Linked DNA regions of Astyanax mexicanus. The main gene of each other region encodes a partner of the protein of the gene in region 3 in a complex. Links are inferred from orthologs where the notes say so. Each region holds a gene or a part of one and is shown on either strand. Other genes may lie near its edges.

The links.
Region 1: dpf3 (region 3) and smarcd2 share a complex: the UniProt entries of both Homo sapiens proteins name them as parts of the BAF complex. The link is inferred for Astyanax mexicanus from reciprocal best matches to the Homo sapiens genes DPF3 and SMARCD2.
Region 2: dpf3 (region 3) and actl6b share a complex: the UniProt entries of both Homo sapiens proteins name them as parts of the BAF complex. The link is inferred for Astyanax mexicanus from reciprocal best matches to the Homo sapiens genes DPF3 and ACTL6B.

Annotation. Positions count from the first base shown.
Region 1 is NC_064422.1:21,924,766-21,932,783, forward strand, and holds the start of smarcd2 (SWI/SNF-related matrix-associated actin-dependent regulator of chromatin subfamily D member 2), read right to left. Parts: upstream 3,010-8,018; 5' UTR 2,877-3,009; coding exon 2,721-2,876; intron 1,367-2,720; coding exon 1,185-1,366; intron 1-1,184. Other genes in the region: atxn7l3b (ataxin-7-like protein 3), read right to left, coding at 6,658-6,677. UniProt on the Homo sapiens protein: Involved in transcriptional activation and repression of select genes by chromatin remodeling (alteration of DNA-nucleosome topology).
Region 2 is NC_064420.1:26,447,233-26,454,350, reverse strand, and holds the start of actl6b (actin-like protein 6B), read right to left. Parts: upstream 3,010-7,118; 5' UTR 2,531-3,009; coding exon 2,506-2,530; intron 1,455-2,505; coding exon 1,378-1,454; intron 1,209-1,377; coding exon 1,043-1,208; intron 1-1,042. UniProt on the Homo sapiens protein: Involved in transcriptional activation and repression of select genes by chromatin remodeling (alteration of DNA-nucleosome topology).
Region 3 is NC_064408.1:78,428,977-78,435,964, reverse strand, and holds the start of dpf3 (zinc finger protein DPF3), read right to left. Parts: upstream 3,050-6,988; 5' UTR 2,976-3,049; coding exon 2,956-2,975; intron 2,268-2,955; coding exon 2,187-2,267; intron 1-2,186. Other genes in the region: wdr21 (WD repeat domain 21), read left to right, coding at 4,371-4,477. UniProt on the Homo sapiens protein: Belongs to the neuron-specific chromatin remodeling complex (nBAF complex).

The DNA of each region.
Region 1 (8,018 bases), on a different chromosome or scaffold from region 3:
AAATAGATCCATCTTCCTCCCAAGCTTGTTTTTAAAGTTGTACAGATGGCACAGCTCTATTAGCACTTCTTCCTTTCGGCGTAATCCAGCAGTTTAGATCATGAGACAGTGTTAGAGTTAAGCTTCCTTTGTTTTACACCAGTGCCTTCACTCCTCCCTTCAGGGCGGAAACAAATGCATCTCTGAGGAAGGGTACAAAAAGTTCTTTCTGCCCCAAAGGACAAGCCACTGTCAATTTGCACATGCTAGAAGATCAAACTGAGATGAGCTTTTCTGTTAATGTACAAGGCTTTGAATGTGGGGAAACCCTTCCTGCTGCTTCACTGCTGGACAAGTTTAAGTGTGTTAGCCACACTCTACCCATTCAATGTTGGCCACAGAAATGCTGTGGAACTGGAATAAGTGAATAATAGGGATGTAATGGTACATTGCTAGTCTTGGTTCGGTTCACATCATGGATTGGACATCACGGTTCTGTATGAGTTTGGTACACAAAGCCCTAAATACATAAGGGTAGGTTTGCTTTTTAAATTATTTGAAACAAAAATCTAGCAAGTTACAATCTGTTCCAATTAGTTTTGCAGTCTGCAACATTCTAGAACATCACAGAACATTTTTTAAGCAAATTTATCAGTTAACTAATTTTGGCCCTAGCTTTCACCCATAAATCACTCTTTTTACAGAGACAAATTATGTATCACCAGGTTTATTTAGCAATGCAAATACAGTTTTGCTACTGTTGAGTTCAGAAGGTAGGCTATATTTTATTTATGTTGAAATATGGATTAAATCTCACAGCTAACTTGCACCTCTTTCCTCTCCCTTGGTCTCCTTTGGTCCTTCCTTTCTCTCTCTTTCTCTCACACGCGCACACACACACTTGCTGCTTCTGTGAAGCATAGGTTTTCCGTGTTTCCTCTCCTACTTGTTTAATTCACTCGTTTACCTGTTAAAGTTGTGTTTAACAGAAGAAGTTATACAAATAGCAGAGTAAATTTTTTATGTTCTATTTGCGCAAATGAAAAGAAATGAATAATTCAGCATAATTAATCACTCTTTACTAGTAAATAATAAATAAAGATTAAGCTTTAATATGTAACAACATGCCACTGGAAAACAACATTGTAATGGTTTAAATAAAAAAAATTGCTGCTGCTAAACTCCAACCTCCAGTGAACACTCACCCTCTCCGAGGCCCCACCAGCCCCCCTGCCTGCTGATGGAGCAGTCTCTTGCGGACCGGGTCCAGCGCTGCCTGAGGCATGCCGGGGCGCATGCTGCCACCATAGGATGGCCCAGGCATGGGGGATCCCATTGGCCCCATCCCACCCATGGGCATGTTTCGACTGGGCGGCATGCTGGGACGCTGCAACCACGCACACACACAGACAGGTCAGAAACACTGGACCACGTATGACAAACAGCAGAATGATAAAAGAGGTAAAGAGACAAAAACGGACTCTAGGCATTTTTTGTTAAAGACCAAACAATGAACACATTTTATTTAACTCATTAATTTTGCCCCTTTTATTTTTTTTTATACAAAACTACAATTAAAATAATTATTCAACACTGAACATTTTAATATCCCAGCAGACACGTCAATAAAGCACAATATTGTTCAGTATTTATTATCTGAGTGTTGAGTAAGAAAGCACTTTCTGCTAAATAATTTTGGTTGGCTAATATTTGGTGCTACCTCTCTGGATTACTGTTTTAATTTTATTTTAAAATGGGATAATCGAGACTGTACATCATTTATATTTTACACTTTTCCTTAATTCATATACATATGTTCAATATAAAAGCTGCAGATAAGGTTGAAGAGGACTGCTTACTATTCATAAAAAATAAATACAGTTTTGGAATTAAATGTAAAGAAAACAATAGCTTGGAAAACATTTAATGGTACTGTTTGTTGAAAAAAAAAACGGTTGTTAAAAAATATAGACCAAAACCATATTAATTATGTATATGGATGACAACTCCAATCATTAAAGGGTAAAAGAGCTTAAGCTACACAATAACAGAACATGAGGAAAATATAAATTATTCATGAACCACAATAGTTTTATTCCTATTATTCTTAACCACTTTAATAGTGAGACAAAGTCCATTTGAAAGACTGCTATCAAATTCCCCTCCCGAAGCCTTGTTTTCACATCTGTTTATGAGATGTGACGCAACATCACGTCAAAGCCAAACATTGAAATGACATGATGCCAAAACTGACGTTTGTGCGCCCCGTTAAATCCGCTTCTTTTAACTTATTTAAATCGATTCTTTCAGCGTGTAAACGAGTATCGGTTTAAGTCAGTTCACTTTAAACGCGGAAGTTCGGTCAACGTTCATGCTAACGCAGATACAACCGTAACATCTTAAAAACGGACTTTTCCCGTTATTTTGCACTTTAAATTACAGAACAGACGGTAACGACATTTTCTTAGCACGGTAATGAATCCGTAACTGTATTAAGGACGGTTTTTGGACATTAATGAACATACACGCGCTGTAATGACTGTGTGTATATGTGTGTACTGTCAGTTAGCTTAGCGAGCCGCTCCCTCAGACAAAAGCGCGTGAGGGGATTTCAGCCAACGGCCGTAACGAAAATAACGAACTTCGCTAAATTTCGAAAAAATAAGAATTTAACGAAAATAACTGAATTCAGCGAGCTGCCAAACTTTCGTTAGGGTCGCGCTGCCACCACACGGGCTTACCGGGTATTGTCCAGTGGGGACCGGGAGACCCCGATAGCCCCCCGTGCTCTGCGGCATCCCCGCCATACGCACACTGCCTGGGGGCCCCGGGGGGCCGGGGTTCGCGGTGCCTGGACCCGCCGGGCTGTTCGGGAGGAACCCCGGTCTGGAAGCCATGCTGCCCGAGCTCCGACGATAACTAAACTATACTAAATAAAACACACGCGCGCTCGTGTTCTCTCTCTCTCTCTCTCCTGTTTCTGTTTCTCTCTCTCCTTTTCTTCCTCTGTTTCTTTCTATCTCCCTCTCTCCTTCTCTCTGGTCCCGCCCCCTCCTGCCAGTCCGCGCTATAATTGGTTGCTCAGTCGTTTTACAAGAGATTGACCAATGACTAAGGGCTGAGGTTCAAGTGGGGGGCCTCCGTGGGTTGCCAGATAATCCCACCGAATGCCTCTTGGACACGGTTGTTGTAAACATCTATATTTTTACACTTCTAGCTAGCGTAATACACTTCTGATTACTAAATCAATTCCTCACAGAGAGTACTATCAACATTTAAAAAGCATTATTATCATTAATGATATGTGCTTGTACAATTACACATTTTTTTAATCTAAGATGAACACACACAAACACACACACACACACACACACACACATATATATAAAACAAAGGGAAGGAATATAAATTTTAGAATAAAACACCTACAAGAACCACTGCCACTACTTCAATATTAATAATGATAATAATAACAAACACTACACAATAAATAAAAAAATGTCTAAAACAGAATATTTATATATAAACATGCCAAATGTCATGGGACAGGAAATTGTATTGTCTCAATTATTTTGTCCTGTCCCATGGATGCTAAAGAACATGATATATGCAAGATATAAGTCTAGGACCTCCTGCGATGAATGTGGAGTAGCCTGTCTGTTCAATTGGACAGATTCCCCTAAGGTCATGTTCATAACCACCACTGTGGGTGGTAGTGACTTCTATGATGTTTTCCCAGTACACAGCTAGCTAGTTAACATACGTCTGACCAGATTTTAAGCAGCATAAAATGTCTTTGTTTCTGTGACTTTAAGGGTTTAGCTGGTAAACAACCAGTGTGAACATACGTGACTATAATGGTTAACCAGCATGACCAACAAGACCAAGTAGGGAGACATTCAAGACCAGCATAACTAGCATAATAAAACTGATCAACCAGCATTACCAAGCTTTCCAATGTTCAAAAAGTTTTTTCAACCCCCTTTACCACCAAGGATCAACTTAGACCATCCTAAAGAATGAAAAAGCGGCTCCTAAGCTCGCTTTTCAGCAGGGTGGTCAGACACTCACAGATGGTTTCTGTAGTTTGTGGACACACCACCAAGCTATGATGCGCTGTGACCAGTGATTGATTGTTGGATATATGTTTTGGGGTCAAGATGAATGGATGAAAATATGGAAATATTTTAATGGCTGTGACAACAGCAACATACACAAAAATGGTTGTTCTTGTAGATAAAATTCAACCAAAATGTTTCCTTCAAAAAACTTTTGTACTGCGATGAATATATGGTTAGCACAGAGGTCCACAGTTTGCCAGGAAAGCAAAGACAAATGGTAAACACTGGAAGTCCAGTGGTTCCTGTTTGGTGGTGGTACTTGTTACTTCTGCATTCATTACTGGCAGTTTCTAACCACAGCTGCCATCATATCCATGCTGGGTACCCACCATGTTCTTCCCCTTTTTGTGTTTGAATTGTAAAGGAAGTCACCGTTCTGTTGAGTGGCTGTGCGGTATTAATCTTACAACTGACAAAGGGCTAGAGTTGGGATGAACAAGACTTCTTTTTGAATCTCAGCATCAATTACCTTCATAATTACCACCAGAGGGACAATGCTAATGTAAAGTAGCTCGCTATGGGATTTGCAATGAAATATGTAACATTATCACAAGGCTAACTGTGTGTATTATCTATTCTATTTGGCTTGATCAGCTTACTGCATTTCCACACCTATAGTTTATTTGGAAACTTGAAGCATTTTCCTCTTGACTTGGTTTAATAGGAGAAAAATTCAAGCACTTAAAAATAAGTCACAACAAACGTGACATGTATATGCTTATTGGTCAGATCTTTCTGGGTTGGGAGCATGAAATAAAATACAGGAAGAAGGTCCTGTGTTCTAAACCAGTGCATATTTCTGTGAAGTTTAACATGGAGTAACATGCAAAATACATTCTTAACTTCTTTTTGGAGAATATTTTGCTATGAATTCCTCAGTCAATACATTAGCCTAACCTGGTGTGTATTCATAACTGTTCATAGGCTAGGCCATTGAGTTGCATTATTTAGAAAAATACTTATTTTACTTAGTTTCTTAAACATAATTGTGTCAAAAGTTACAGGAGAAATCCAGAAATTAACTGTACAATAACGTACCAGTTTTCATTGTCTCCATGTGAGGAGTTATCAATGGAACAACATGCAAGCCTGTAATACAACATTTATAAAATTGACTTTTTTATTTAGCATCTAACAACCTACATTCATCCCTTTTATCATAAACAAAGAGCTGGTTGAAAAGCTCGTCATCTAGGTGAAAATATACCCTATACCAGGTGGTTAAGTGGGTTAAGTAACTTGTTACCTCTTGATCAGCATTACGTATGTTTTCCTTTGAGTTTGATGGACTAACTTGTCTACCAGCAGCACAATAAACTTGTCTAAGCTAGTCAATAACCTGGTTGTTAGCTTCAGGTTGTTGGTCACAAGCTAAGCTGGTCAGCCTGCTTAACAAGGGTGAGCTAGGGTGGAGCTAGCCAGGCTATTTTCAGCAGGGTACTGAAGTGAACCTCAAACACACATACATGGTTCTGATCGTTTATTACACGTGTTGACATGTCCACAAGCATACGGCTCATGGCCTGGCCAGGATAGCAGCATTTTTCACCTAGTCAAATGTATGTACAGTTACAACACAGTGAAGACACACATGATTCCTTACACTGTAAACATCTAGTACACAGAAACAAGACCAAGAAAGGAAGAAACAAAAAAATGATAAAAGGAGAAATTCTAGTCTTGATACGTTCTCCTCAAAGGAATACGTACGTCTTTCTGCCAGAGGCAATTTCAAGTGTTTATACAGAGTCTCAAAGTTTTATTTTATAATATTTTTTCCTGTAAGAGTGCGATATTAGAAGATCATAATTGTTCTTCAAGGTGTCAACACGGCTCTTTTGCCTTGAGGATCACCAGGAAAAAAAAAAGGATGCACCTTTGTGGATTCGTGCAAAAAGCCCCTTACAACTCGAAATGGTGAAATAAGCAGCATTGATTGATGAGTTATTTATCAGTCCTGTTCTTTGCAAATATCTTTTCTTGGCCATCATTTAAAAACACGTCCTCCTCAGCCGTTTAAGACCTAGTGAAGACGTGCAAAAGAAAAATCAAAAGTCTCAAGTGAAGGGAGGCATCCGCCACTTGCTTACTACCACCTGCCATTCAAACCAATGGCCCCGCCCCGGTCCTCCCTGAGAGCTTCCCATTGTTGTGCGCGTTCCACGCCACCAGGTCGCGCCACTCTGAAGAACTATCAAGTTACACTGTCAAGACAAAACGATCAACACGACATCGATTCATTGTGCAAAATATTCCAGGAAAATAAAGAGAAAAAGAAAGAGAGAAAGAGAGAAACAGAGTGAGAAAGAAAACACTTGTGTAAACCGAACGGTGAAGCTAATCGATGGCCCTTCCGCCAGTCAGCACAATTCAGGTCGTGCGTTTGTTACTGAAGGTGAGCCAAACGGCATTGTGGGTAGTGATTGGAGGGCCCCCCCCCATTGCCAATGTCGTTACTGTGGAAACGACTCGTCTCTTAGCAACACACGCGGACTCCCTTGGTTCTTCTCATGTCGCTTTGAGCCCAGCAAAGCTGAAGGACGAACTTGGAGCGTCGTCAATGAGTCATCCTCACTCCTACATGTGCAATTCATTGAGTGAGATGTTAGAACACGAAACTGTAACAACATCTACATAAACACATTTAAGACACTATAAACAGACCCCTCCAAAAATATTGGAACAGTGAGGCTGATCCATGTATTCACACCTGCTGTAGACTGAAAACATTTGGGTTTGATATTAAAAATTGATATCATGCAAAAGATCAACATTTCAGCTTTTATTTCCAGGTACATCTAATTCTGATACACAGTTCAGAAGATGGCACCTTTTATCGGAACCCACCCATTTTTCTTTTTTTGGGCAAAAGTATTGGAACAGATAGACTTAAATACAGATTAAAGTTGAAATTCCTTATTTAGCTACAAATCCTGTGCTTGCAATAACTGCATCACGTCTGTGACCCACTGACGTTACTAAACTTTCGCATTCTTCTTCTGCGATGCTTTCCAGGCAGTGAGTTTTGGGTCATCATTTTGCTGTATGATGAAGGATCTCCCAATTAGATTGGTTGCATCTTTCTTTAAATTGAAAGACAAAAGTTTCAGTAGAAAACTTTGTTTCACAGACAAGCTTGTATGTTTGGAATCATGAGCAGATTCTTTCTTTCTCCAAAATTTAGCCTTTCAATCACATTGGTAAAAGTTCATCAGTCCATATTCTTATCACTGTACATCTTGGGAAATTCCAGCTTTTAAATCCTCAGCGAACAGTAGATTGCAATACCTTCACTCCTACCTTTTGAAGGTTGTTGCTGATGCCACTAGCAGTTGTTTGATGGTCTTTCTTTACAGTATTAACAATGTTTCGACTGCTGTGGTTTTATTGGCTATGGACAATATCTATGCAATGGTTCCAATTGATTTTTCATCATCTCTCAGCTTCACAATTGCTCGTTTTTCATGTTTACTCATTTAAATATCAAATGCACAGTCCACATGGGCTAAATCCAAACTGAAACTAAGCATATACATTCAGAGCTATTTATTGTTTGAGCAGTCAATGTATCAGAACACACCTGGGCAACAAAATACACCTGAAAGTCACATGTTCCAATATTATTTCTCATAACAAAAATGAGGTCAGACAAAAAGCACAATGTTCTAAACTGTGTATCAGATCCTTTTATGTCTACAGCTCTCAATGCTCCAATACTTTTGGAAGGTGCTGTCACTGCTACATCACACAAAGATACTTCAAAACAAGATCAGGGGGGTGAGGGGGCAAGGTCATGATCGGGGTGTCATTTGAGCCACTATTGATATTGTTATATTTTTTAATTTACGTATGGTGAAGAGATAATGCAATTTAAACATAGTAAAGTGTCTTTCATTAAAAAAAAATCACTAATTTATT
Region 2 (7,118 bases), on a different chromosome or scaffold from region 3:
TAAACTCCTCCATCTGTAATGAGACACTGATGCAGCTTTAGTACAAGTTTATATAGCTATATATATATATATATATATATATATATATATATATATATATATATATATATATATATATCAAAGCTTAGAATCAGACTACATTTATTATTGGATGAGAGTTTTTTTTGTATGAGCGGTTAATATACAATCCAATCTATAATACACGATAACATCCAATATACAGTACCAGTCAAAAGTGGACACACCTTAATTTTAGGTTATTTTCAGTATTTTAACATTTCTGCATTGTAGATTAATACTAAAGTCATCCAAATTATAAAGAAAACATATGTATGGGGAGTTGTCCCAAAAGAATCCTCTTTTTATTCCATGATGCACTTTTGTAGTGGTTAGTGTAGTGAATAGGGGTTAAATATGGTCTGCAGTGTTTGCTATTCTGTGTTGTTAGTGGTGTTTGTTAGCTCTGCTCTGCTGTGATACTCACTGTACTGGGCCGAGTGAGGTACTCTCAAGAGGGGTATCAAGTTAGTGGTGTTAAAATGTTTAATCTGCTTCCTCCACAAGATTCACTGGTTTTACATATTATACAAACATTTTCGCTTAAGTCAGATACAGTAAAAGCAAAGTGGAGCCAGCATAACACTGCCTATAATGAGCATCTGCAGCCATGTACAGGCTCTAGAATTTTGCAGAGCTACTGTTATCCTTAACTGAGGATATGATCTAAAAGGGTATCAAGTGGAATATGGCTATTTTAAATATCTGCCAATATCAATACATAGCCGATCAATTGTCCGTCTCTAGTTCAAAAGTCTCAAAACTGTTCTGCACTGCAGAGTTAGCATGGCTAGCTGATTAGCACATTGAGGTGGCTAGCTCCTCATTCTCCCTGCTCCACTCGCACTGCAGGCAGGCAGATATATAAGGTATGAGTGACACACTGAGAGGTGAGACAGGTGACCAAGATGACCAAGTAATAAAACAGTGAGAAACTAATCAAACAGAATGGTAGAATTTGATTGTGTGTGTGTGTGTCTCATACTCATGCCGTTCTTCAGTGGTGATATCAGCTCCACTCCAGGTCGGGGTACATGAAGGGCTGTGGTGTCCATGTAGAAAGTCCGCCCGCTGTTGTTATCTTGCTCCGCCCCCATCTCTGCAGGCCCCTCCTCCTCTACATGCACTCCTAAAGAGGTGGGGAAGTCTGCCTGCAGGAGATGTGATATAAACAAGGTGTATCTAAAGGTGTGAGGCTTTACATCAGAATATTTTCTGCTTATTCATACACTGAAGGTGGATAAATGTAGGTATGGATTAGTGGATGTTATTAAAACGATAGATGGATGGATAAATATATGGATGGATGGGTAAGGGTACCTTAGGGCAGTCTTCACCAGCATAACCTGCTCTAGTGGAGAAGGAGCCGATATCAAACACCAATGCCCCCACCTCATCTAAGAGAGAGAAAGAAAGATAGTGTGAATGAGAGAGAGAGAGAGAAGTACAGTAAGAGAGAGACAGAGAGAGATGACAGATCTACAGTAATGATATAACTAAAGTGATGATGGATTAACAGAGATGTAGCCACAGTAAGAATGGGGTTACAGTAATGATGATACAGTAATGACAGAAAGGGATGAGGCTTTAACAGGCTTTTATACAGTGATGGTGGAGTTACAGTGATGACAGAATAACAGTGATGGCAGAGCTACAGTGATAACAGAGCAACAGTGATAACAGAGCAGCAGTGATGAGAGAATAACAGTAATGACAGAGCTACAATAATGATGGAGCTACAGTGATGCCAGAGTTACAGTAATGGTGGCAGAAGTAGAGTGATGATAGCTACAGTGATGACAGGGCTACAGTAATGATGTAGCTACAGTATTGCCAGAGTTACAGTAATGTTGGCAGAGCTAGAGTGATGACAGAGCTACAGTAATGATGGAGCTACAGTATTGCCAGAGATACAGTAATAATGGCAGAGCTACAGTGATGCCAGAGTTACAGTAATGATGGCAAAGCTAAAGTGATGACAGGGCTACAGTAATGATGGAGCTACAGTTATGACAGTTACAGTGATAACAAAGCTAAAGTGATGATGGAGTTACAGTGGTAAAATCAATAATAGAAGCAAACGATGGAGCTACAGTAATGATGGAGTAAAAGTGATGGACAGCACTACAGTAATTATGGAGCTACAGTGATGATGGAGATACAGTAATGATGGAGCTACAGTGATGATGGAGTTACAGTGATGACAGAGCTACAGTAATGATCGAGTTACAATGACAGAGCTACAGTGATGACAGAGTTACCGTGATGACAGTTACAGAGATTACAGAGCTACAGTAATGATTGAGCTACAGTGATGACAGAACTACAGTGATGACAGAGTTACAGTGATGACAGAGCTACAGTGATGACAGAGCTACAGTAATGATTGAGCTACAGTGATGACAGAGCTACAGTGATGATGGAGTTACAGTGATGTTTCTCTCTTACCTCCACCGTAGACTCCACCACTCATGTCTATCGCTCAGTCCCTCCAGTTTCACTCCTCAGGCGAGTCGTGTGCAGAAATTTGTTGTTTATTAGTCCTGAAGTCCTGACTGACACGACAGGCTAAATAATGCTCGTGCACGTGCCTCTGCTCTTCCTTCGAGAGCTGCAGCTCGGCAACAGCTCGCCAGTGTGCGCGTGCGTGCACCCGCCGGCTGAGAGAGAAAGAGAGAGAGAGAGAAAGAGAGAGAGAGGGCTCTAAGGTGGGATCATCTTTTCTGCAGCAGAATGTAAGTGTGTGGACAGGAGTGTGTGTAGGTGTTTGCGTGTGAGAGGATTTGGAGGTGGTACAGTAAGCTATATAATTCACTAAGAACCACACTCAGAACCCCCATCTGGTCCTGTTTCATACTGAGGAACTTGCAAAATCAACAATGAAAGAGAAAAGGATGAAAGAAGTGAGGGATGAGGAGGTATGCAGAAGGTGAGAGTGACATGGCGGTCCTTAAGCTGTTCTGAGTTTAGAAACGGTCAAACTGCACCCCCTGTTGGTGGCTGCAGTACTGCACACACGCGCGCGCGCTGCAGCTGATAGGCTAACTGATAGATGTTTTCTATAAAACATGAATGGTTTACTTTAGTATAGAACATATGCTCTAATCCTAAGACATGCTGATAGAGGCACTTGTAATGTTGTGTATATTTTAATTATTATTCTGTTAAAAAAATTGTCTGAAAATAAATGGTTCCAATACTGTATAAAACAAAAAATACATTGAATTAATACAGTAATCTAAATAAATATTTAAATAGAAGATAATGAATATGCATGCACTTTGATATCTAATAAACACGTGTATATTTATAAATAATAGCATTTGTTTTTATCCATGTATTTTATTTGGACTATTCGTGTTCAAATGATGGACACTGACACAAACACAATGAATAAATAATAAATACATTATAATTTACAAGACCACATATAAATAATGTATTTTTTACAATCCTAAAAAGATTCTTATAAATATTTTGTAAGTAGTACATGTACAACTGAGTCGTTGTAAGTCTTTTAATATCTAACCACCTTCAGACAGCCTGTACCTGTTTTACTTAATCGTATTTATTCTTTTATTTTTATTTTAGTCCTCTCTTAGTTATTTATTTCCTTTTTATTTCTTTCATTATTTCTTTTTGTATTTTTTGTTTTGTATTATTACATTTTAACTTATTAAAAGTTTATGATTATTATTGTTATTATTGTTTTTTATTTATAAATGTTTATTTTTTATTGTACTATGTAAAAGTTAGTTTTAACTTAATATTAACAGTTTTTTTGTATTACTCTTATCTTCTTAATTTCTTAGCAATTAAACCAAGTTTTATTATTAATATGATTTTTTAAAATCTATTTTTATCTTTTATTTACTGTTATTTTTAAATTATTAAATGTAGTTATTATTTTCTTTATCATGTCAATCCCTGTATTTGTAAATGCTCAGCTACATAAAAAAGAGGGTTGCCCTAGATGTACTTCCGAGTCAAAATAAAGGTTGATTGATTGATCGGTTTATTGACTAATACATATTGATCTAATTAATATAACTTACTGTTAAAAACGTGAGTGAGGACTTTTATTTGTGAGGTCTGTATTTACCCAGGCCTGTTATTTATGTGTTGCTCCTTTTTAAGCTCCTCCCTGGTGTCCGGTTCCAGCAGGACCACCTTCCCCACCTCCCCTCCGCTCGGTCTTTGAGGGGGGATTCCGTATCCGAGAGACTGTACCGTCCCCCCCTCCGCAGCGCTGCAGTGGTTCAGTCCGGCCGCGCTGCGCTGAGAGCGGGCCGCACAACGGCGCAGCTGCGCGGGGGAGCACGGGGGGGAAAAGTTTTAGTTCTTACTGGACAGGACCGGAGAGAGTTCGGCCATGGGGGAAATCTAACCGGACACACACTCTCTCACACTCACATACACACACACACACACACACACACTCACACACACACCACCCGCTTGGACAGCAGCGCAGCCCCCCGTCCCGGCGAAGGTGAGTGTCTCCCGGTTCGCTCCGAGGGTCCGGTGGAGGGCGGCCCGCGAGGGCTAGCGTTAGCACGTTAGCGCTGGAGGTAGAGAGGGGCTATGGGAGGGGTCGGGGGTACTGTAGTTAACACACACAAATTAGAACAGGGTCAGTGTTTTAAAGAGTGGGTGAGATTGACAGTGAGCATCTGTATCTGACCATTTCTGTCTTAATGGAAATGTTCGGTCCACCTTAAATGGAGAGTGTAACTGCTGCAATAAGGTGGAACGAACTATTTCAAAAATACAGCTTAACAGCTTAGTTATTTCTTACTGACAAAATGTTTGTTCGTGCGTGTGTCCTGTGACAGCTGGAGCGGTGTCTCTACACACTAATCACCATCCCTCTCTCCCTTTTTCTCTCTCTCTCTCTTATCTCTTTTTCTCCCTCTTTCTCTGGGTGTGGGGTGGATTAAAACATGGGTATAACTATCCATCAAATGATTTTATATATGTGAAAAGGGAGAGTGAAGATAGAGGGAAGCAAAGGGAAGAGAATGTTAGAAAGGACTTCATCTAGAGAGAAAAAGAGAGGGAGAAAGAGAGGGGAGGAAGAGAGAAAGTGAGAGAACTAGGAGAGTTTGGTCTGAAATATTTTAGTAGTGATGTAAGGCTACAGTCCTGCTCACCTCAACTCAGCTCTTACACACACATCTAGAACAGTGTGTGTTTATTGTGGCTGAGTTCCTTTTCTGATCTAATAATGAGCTAATTTTAAATCCACACACTCTGTGTGTGTGTGTGTGTGTGTGTGTGTGTGTGTGTGTCTGTGTGTGATGGCTTCTCACCAAGTCTAAATCACCTGTTGAGAAACATCTGCTCTCACACACAACTCTGATTTACACTGCTTTGATCATTTCAGTCTTACCCACACACACAAACTTTTACACTGCTTTGATCTTGTCAGTCTTGCACACACACGCATATGCTATTGAGGGAGTGTTTTTCCTCTGTGAGTGAGTTCCATGGTGCTTCCTTTTCCAGCGGAAGTGATGTGAGAAATCCAGTCACAAGTGGTCACAGGACGTGCATATCAAATGCCAGATGGACTGGCAGTACATTTTGGCAATCAATTATGATTGGGTCTCCCAGGATGTATGTTTGTGCAAGGTGTGAACATTGCAACTGACTAAAGAATGTAAAAGTAAACATTAGAGATTACCTCAGTTTGAGACACAGCCCCTGAAGCTAATCTAAACTAACACAGGATCCTGGATCCTGTCAACTGTGTTCTGATTGGCTGTACATGTGAATGTCCACGTGAATATTTTCAATACTGATTCTCTTGCTTGGTTCATTGATAGAAAATGGAAAAACCTACAGTATGTTTAAGGGTGTTTGTTTACACAGCAGCACTTTTTAAACGGGTTAACGCCGACTCTGGTTTATTTGCACCCCTAGAGCAGTTTATTTTGGCTGGTGTGAAAAGGAGGTAATCTCATCTCAGCTCCAAACGAACCCCCGAAACGCATTGTTTGAGGTGTAAACGTGGCCTGACCTCGATCTGACCCAACCATCAAATAAATTGAATTGAATTTGACCTGATTTGTTATCTAGATAATTACTACTGCTGTTGACGAATGCTATCTTTGACACTGCTCTAAAATATGTGCTAGTCTGGAACACCGCACTATTTTCATGCATTTACTTTCTAGGTCTGCCCCAGAAATGTTTGACCAATAATCAGAGAGAAAGTTCTCTCATGGTTTGTTGTGATGCATTTTGTTCTATTTGCAGTTTTTTATGTGTGAACCCAAAACAAACCAAAGACGGTGACATTCCAAGTTAATAAACTTGTTAACTGCTTCGGACCAAAGAAAGAAACAGATGTTTTGACTTAAAGTAGTGTTAGGTGCTTTAAAGGCTCCCTCATGGACAAGCTGTACACAAGCATTTGTTGACAAGCTGAAAGACACAAAAGCAGCGGTGGACTAAGAAGGTAGAGTAACCTTACAGGAAGTTACACATAGGGCTTGTTTAACATGTGTATATATATATATGCGTATTTAGAATTTTTATGAGAAATAGGAAATAACAGGATAAGTGTGGGTGTTATTGTTCTTTTATACTGGAAAATAAAAACGTATTTCTTCTGGTCAAACCGGGGAGGTATTGTAATACAAGTGTAAACAGAATTCGGTCAAGCATATAGATACCATCCAGAGACAATGGCAGGTGTAAACAGGCCCATATATGAATTGGGTTACACACTGATACAGTACTGGAGAGCAGTGTCATACAGCTTCAAAGTTCTGTAGTGCAGTATCAGAATTTTGGAGTGGAAATGACAAAGTTGCCATTCTTGCTGTTGCAGTCAGTTTACCATCAGTATGATTCAGAAACTGCTGTTTTAAGACAAACTGTATGGACTAAACTGTCTATATATGGACCACCTGCTCATTCATTGTTTCTTATGAAATTAAATGTATTAAAAAAAGAGTAGTTTTTATTGGAATATCTCTCTATAACTTCTCTACTGTCCAAGGAAGGCTTTATACTTGCTCAGACCTGGCATGAGGCATGATGCCAGAAGGTTG
Region 3 (6,988 bases):
ATACTTTATACTTAATTTTATACCACTTGACCTAATATGATATAATAATTTAATTTTTTTCATCTCTATTTTTTCTATTATTAAAGAAACGTGATTTCACACTTTTGAACAGTGGTGTATATTTTAAAAATATGCTGTACAGAATCACTATAACACTGGGCAAGGAGTTCATTGTAAAGCATGGCAGATCAACATGGTTTACTTAAGAAATATATTTCTTTAAGATTCAACCTAAATTAAAATCAGTGTAATCATTAATTAAAAGGTAAACAGCCTGGAATTAGTATTTTAAAATGAACCCAAGAGCAGTTTACTAAATTAAATGGTGTAGGCTGTTAAAACTCATGAGGAACCTGAGGGGATCTAAGGATAGTTTTATATGTTGTTTAACCCACAGGCACCTCACATGATATTTTACACTTTTTATAGGGAGCCATGTGGTTCAGTGATTAATAATAAATCATTTTAGTGAATTATATTTTCTGCAGTCCAGTGTAATACTGGATACATTCTGCAGACAACAACAGAAATCATGATACTGCTATGTGGTGTATTTAACTTCACACTGCAGAAACATACACATTTTCATTTATACCAATATATAAATATGCAGTTAGGTATGTATTATTTAACAAAGTTATTCTAATTATGTGTAACTCCCCCTAAGTTCTATTTTAGGGTTTTCCTGTCTTTTATTCAGAGTTTATGCAGTTTCAGTGCATTTATTTATATAAATCCTATACGTTTTTAATGCCACTTAACCCATGGCTTAGTTGCTTACTTTTTCAACATTACTTAATTATTACACACATTAGTACACACATTTTATTTGATCAAGTTTTAAATAGAGTATCATGCAGTTCAGTGATTAACAGTTACTGAATTACTTTTCAACTTTTGCAAATATGAATATATTTGTATGATACTCCCACTGTGTGCAGGTTAACGCTAGTTTATCTCACTTGAGTCCACTGAGGTTTCACTCAGCCAAAATAATATAACACTATATAAAGATATACCACTATACTAATATAACACTTTATAAAAAATACTTTTTGGCTGTTTTTCAGCCTGTAAAAAAATGTCATTGATCAGAGCAGGACTAATATCAGACCTGAGAACATTCCCCACGTCCTCCTACAACTTTAAACACCAACACTGTACACACACAGCCCTGGAAGAAAATAAGGGACCACTGAAAAAGGATGAATTTCTTTGATTTTATCAAATTGATAACCTGGAATATAATCAAGAGAAAGATAGATGATCACAAGCCATCAAACCAAGCTGAACTGCTTGATTTTTTGCATCAGGAGTGGCATAAAGTTATCCAAAAGCAGTGTGTAAGACTGGTGGAGGAGAACATGCCAAGATGCATAAAAATGTCATTAAAAACCAGGGTTGTTCCAGCTAATATTGATTTCTGAACTCTTAAAACGTTATAAATATGAACTTGTTTCCTTTGCATTATTTAAGATCTGAAAGCTCTGCATCTTTTTTGTTGTTTCGGCCATTTCTCATTTTTTGCAAATAAATGCTCTAAATGACAATATTTTTTTTGGAATTTGGGAGAAATGCTGTCCGCAGTTTATAGAATAAAACAACAATGTTCATTTTACTCAAACATAAATCTATAAATAGCAAAATCAGAGAAACTGATTCAGAAACTGAAGTGCAATCTTATTTTTTTCCAGAGCTGTATAGAGCGACCAGTAAACGAGCTCCCGGTCACCTCTGTTACTACATCTCACTTATTCTACACCCGCTGATGAGGAACGGCGGCCGGGCTGTGAGACAGGACCAGTAACTAGTTAACTACAGTCACAGCGCTGCTGTAATGAAGAAGAAGAAGAAGTGCAGAAACACGCAGGTAAGAAATCCTGGAACTTACAATCAACCCCCTGTCTAACCGACCTGCACATCACCATGCAGCACATAAGCACACTCACACTCACACGAAGACTGAAACTAGTGCTGGGCAGCAGCGCGCAGACTGCTCACATCTCACAGACCCTCAAATCAAACATCAGCTCCGAATCTGCGGGATAAAAACCCGCTCCTTCAGCAGCAGCTCAATAACCGGGCTCTGTAACTGCGATACACACGCCCCCGCCGAAACACACACACACACATATTTACAAAACCACAACACATACATAAATGTATATATCCATTTTACTACTTACGCTTTTAGTGGATTCTGAATGACAGTCGCCATTTTGCCACACTGTAACCCAATATTCAAAATCTCAGACTTCTTTGGGACCCTTATGAAAAAAAAACAACCAATACGGACCTCAGTGTCCAGCAGTTTGGCCAATACAATAAAGGGATTTAAGACGTGGGCGTGGCTTAGGGAAGCTGTCAAAACCCTAACAAAAACCCATACATCTTTACGTTCCAGATACGTGATATTTTTATACACGCTTTATTTTTTAACGCCTTTTAGCTCGTTTTGATCAGATATCCCGATATTTTTACAGAAATATAGTTAGAGAAGTGCAGTGTCTGCTGGTATATAGTCATATATTTATGCATATGTTGCACGGTATATATGCTGAATGTTCATATTTTTCATGCATGTTTGCCTTTTTATTTTAAAAAAGGTTTTCATTACCGCATCAATTTATTTAACATTAAGTTAGTTAACCTATAGTCTTTACTCTCTGTCCACGACAGGTAAATTACAACATATAAAAGCGCTCCGTGTTATTGTCCCTCTCGTCCCGTTCAATGCTGTGATTGACATCGCACAAAACCAATCGTATGATGGAATGATACATATTTTGGTGAACCAACCAATTAACGCTAAGTAGGCGGGACGTTCGCTGAGCCACACGAGGAAACGGCGTTGTCCACCGCAGGCAGGACGATAATAACTGGAGATAATACGCTCCTAACTAAAATACAAACGTTTAAAAAACGATAAAATACATTTTGTATTTTATTACTTACGTCCGAGTGAGAGTCGCCATCCTGCCACGCTGTAGCCCAGTATTCAAAATCTCAGACGTCTTTGGGACCCTTATGAAAAAGAATCAGCAGATACGCCCAATACAATAAAATAATTTAAGATAGGGGCGTGGCTTAAATATGTCAAAACTGTAACAAAAGCACATACATTTATATAGCTATATTATATGTGTTCGTATAAATATAATGTAAAATATACTTAAATTGATTAGATGTTTTTTGTTTGTTTCACAGAAATGTGATAAAATGTATCATGATATGGTCAAGCATGTTATTTTGTATTAATCTAATTATGTATCCCTTAATTTGACTGCTTTAAGTTAGCCTGTTCACTTATCATTTTATTTTTAATAATTTTTATTTAAATCTTATTTTTTTTAAATGCCATATTTTTTATTGATTTGTTTATCAGTCCCTGCATTAAAAATGCATTAAAAAGAGGGTTTCCCTAATTTTTTTTTTCCGTGTGAAAGCTGACTGAGTGGGTGATTGATATGCAAGATAGATTAAAACACAAACAAACAAAAAAAAAAGATTTAATTAAAACAAACTAAAATAATTTACAATAAAGTGAACAGACTACCTTAAAACTGTCAACTTAAGAGATAAATAATTAGATTAATAAAAAATAACATTTGATTGAACTTATCAGCAGACACTTCATTACATATTTTTAAAACAAACAAAAATAATTAAATCAATTTAAGAATATATTAAATTCTCTCTCTAGATATATATATATATATATTTTTTTTTTTTTTTTCATGTTTTTTTGGTGCATACATGATATCTCTTATATTAACTTATCCATCAACTCATTTCATATTTTTTTGGAAAATAAACGACTTAATCTTTTGTTTTTTACCAACGGTCTGTGGCCCTTTTACACCGTCCTCTGCTGTGATTGACATCTCAGATATCCAATCCCGTGATTAAATTATACATATTTTTGGTGAAACAACCAATAAGCGCTTAGTAGGCGGGGTGTTCGCTGAGCCACACGAGGAAACGCCGCTGTCCGAGGCAGGAAGTACAATACCCGTGTGTGTTTGTTTATGTGAGCGGGTGAAGAAGTTGTTTGGTGGAAAACAGTCACACTCGGGAATAAAACAGCGAGTTAAAGAGTTAAAGTGAGGCTTAAAGTGTGCGGAATCTGTGGAACCAAGCTAAAAAACATGGGCTGCCACGTGTACTACCACTAGCTACGTGGTAGTCGTTTAGGTGCTAGCAGGCTAGCTGACTGACTAGCTAACCTATCTATCCTATTCAATGTAGCTAACTAAGTTCGCTAATGCTCAGACGTGCCTTATCCATGTTTCTTCATGGTCAGCGGGCTGGACGTGTGAGCTTGTAGCTGTTCTTACCTCAGTGCCTCTCATTACATATGAATACGAGAAATGGGGAGACGAAATTGGCGAGGAAGGGGAAAACACCAGCTTCACCATCATTATCGTCGAGCAGACTGGAGGAGAGATCATTCCACTGGCAGAAGTCACGAGGATGGGTAAAACATCTGCTCTAGTTATCATTTTCCCCTAAAATAAGTGCTAACCTGTTAATGCATTGCTGTTCAGCTACACTGAATGACTACTGCCTGAAGCCAAAGGTTTTAATGGGTGAACTGTGTCTCCCAGTAACAGCTAGGGCTGGCCCGAATAGCGTTTTTTGAGCTCCGGATATTCGGCACTGATTCGAAGCGAATTTTCGAATATTCGTTTTTTAAAAAAAGAGGTAAAAAAAAAAAAAAAAAGCAAATCACGGCCCATTTAATCCACTGAAAAATGTCCAATTTGCTCTGACCGACGAGACATATTCACCCCGGATTTTTGGTGTTTTTATCCCGGATTTTTGTGTTTTCACCCCATATTTTTTCTGTGTTTTTAGCCCAGATTTCTTTGTGTTTTCATCCCGGAATTTCTGCTGCCCCACACCGCGGCTTATCCGCTGCATAAGCAGGCTAGGAGGCTGCTGCTGCACGGTTTCTCCGCTGCGCAAGCCAGCCCAGTAAATTGCTGTTTGTGTTTTCACACTTAGGCTATTTGCTTAAAAAAAAAAAAAAAAAAAACGTTTGTTCAGGAAGTATTTTATATTCTTAAACATTGTTGATTATATTAGAGGACAGTCATTGTAAACTGTACTTGGTCTATTTCGGTTAAAGGATTGTGCAGGGCATATTACTGATTTTGTATTTTTGCACTTGGGCTATAAGCTCAATATTAAATATTTCGTTTGTTTAGAAATTATTTTATATTTTTAAACCATGTTAAATTATATTAGAGAAGAGGAAAGTCATTGTTAATGACGTTATTGTACTTGGTCTATTTCGGTTTAAGGATTGTGCAGGGCATAGCCGTATTACTGATTTTGTATTTTTGCACTTGGGCTATAAGCTCAATATTAAATATTTCGTTTGCTTAGAAATTATTTTATATTTTTAAACCATTTTAAATTATATTAGATAAGAGGAAATTCGTTCAGACATCATTTTTGTAGGCCAGGCTTTTGTAACCGATTTAGCCCCTACTGTTGCCACATTACCCCTTACGTTTTATTATATAAATCAGTTTCGAAGAGCCTGCATTTTTTTTTTATCATGTATAATAGAGGTCTGCGTAAGACTGATTTTTAAACCCACTCTTCCACGCTCCCGCGTTTCTGTCTCGTTACCGCGCCGCAAAAAAATTGCTTCTTTTAATCCCGCGCCCGCCCGCCACATACACATTTCTGCCGCTCCCGCCCCACGTTCCTAATATAAATTAAATAAACTACATTTAATGCTTCAAATTTACTTATATATTTATTAAAACAGCAGCGCTGAATAGTGCGGTCCCGTTCCTTACCCCAGTCCAAACACCATCGGTGTGTGCGTGTGTGTGTCGGTCCATCCTGCGCGTTGAGAGTTTTCTTTAGGTTTTTTTTTTTACAATTATTACAGTTTTCTTAACTATTTATTAATTTGCTCCCGCATCGTCTGGATTAAACTCCCGCTCCAGCCAATAACAGTTCAGTTCTGTCCCACGCGCAAGATATTCTGACGGGACCCGCGAAAACAGAAGTGGTTAGAGTGAGGTGGAACTCTGGAAAGGAGAAAAAAAACGAATATCCGAATACCAAAATTAAAAACCGAATACCTACTCAACGAACGAATATCCCAATACCCGAATATTCGGGTCCAGCCCTAGTAACAGCATCTGCTTTTTAGGGAGTACTGTTGTGTGCTTAGTTGAGCACCTGTGTCAGCAGCTGAATTCACACATTACAGTGAGTGTATGAGTACTTTTGGACCCGTGTATTATAGCATCTCAAAAAATTAGAATACCAATGAAAAGTTACTTTATTTCAGCTCAAATTGTGAAGCTCATATATTATATAGATGTATTATACACAGAGTGATTTATTTTAAGCATTTATTTATTTTATTGTTGATGATTATGGCTTACAGCCAACAAAAACTAAAAAATCTGTATAATGTGAATATTATTAAGACCTGTTGGTAATTTTGTCAGTGTGGGTGGTGTGTCAAGTCCTGCTGGAAAATAAAATCCACATCTTCATAAGTTCACAATTTGTCAGCAGAGGGAAGAATGAAGTGCTGTAAGATTTTCTGGGGAAACACTGCACTGACTTTAGACTTGAAATAACCCAGTGGAGCAACACCAGCAGAAGACATGTCTCTCCAAACCATCACTGATTGTAGAAACTTCACACTAGACCTCAAGCAGCTTAGACTGTGTGCCTCTCCACTCTTCATCCAGACTCTGCTCCTTAATTTCCAAATTAATTGCAAAATTCACTGATGGTCAATGATGGTTTGGAGAGCCATGTCATTTTTTTTTAGATGCACTAGTATATATTTATTTTTCTTGAGCTCCATAGATTAAGCCTAGTCTTAGTCTACAATTAAATGTCAGTTGTGAATCACCATTTGAAAATAACATATTTTAATCTGTTTAATGTAATCTAGATCTGGTTAACTGACGCAAAATGAGCTATTCAGCTAACCTTTGTTTTTAAT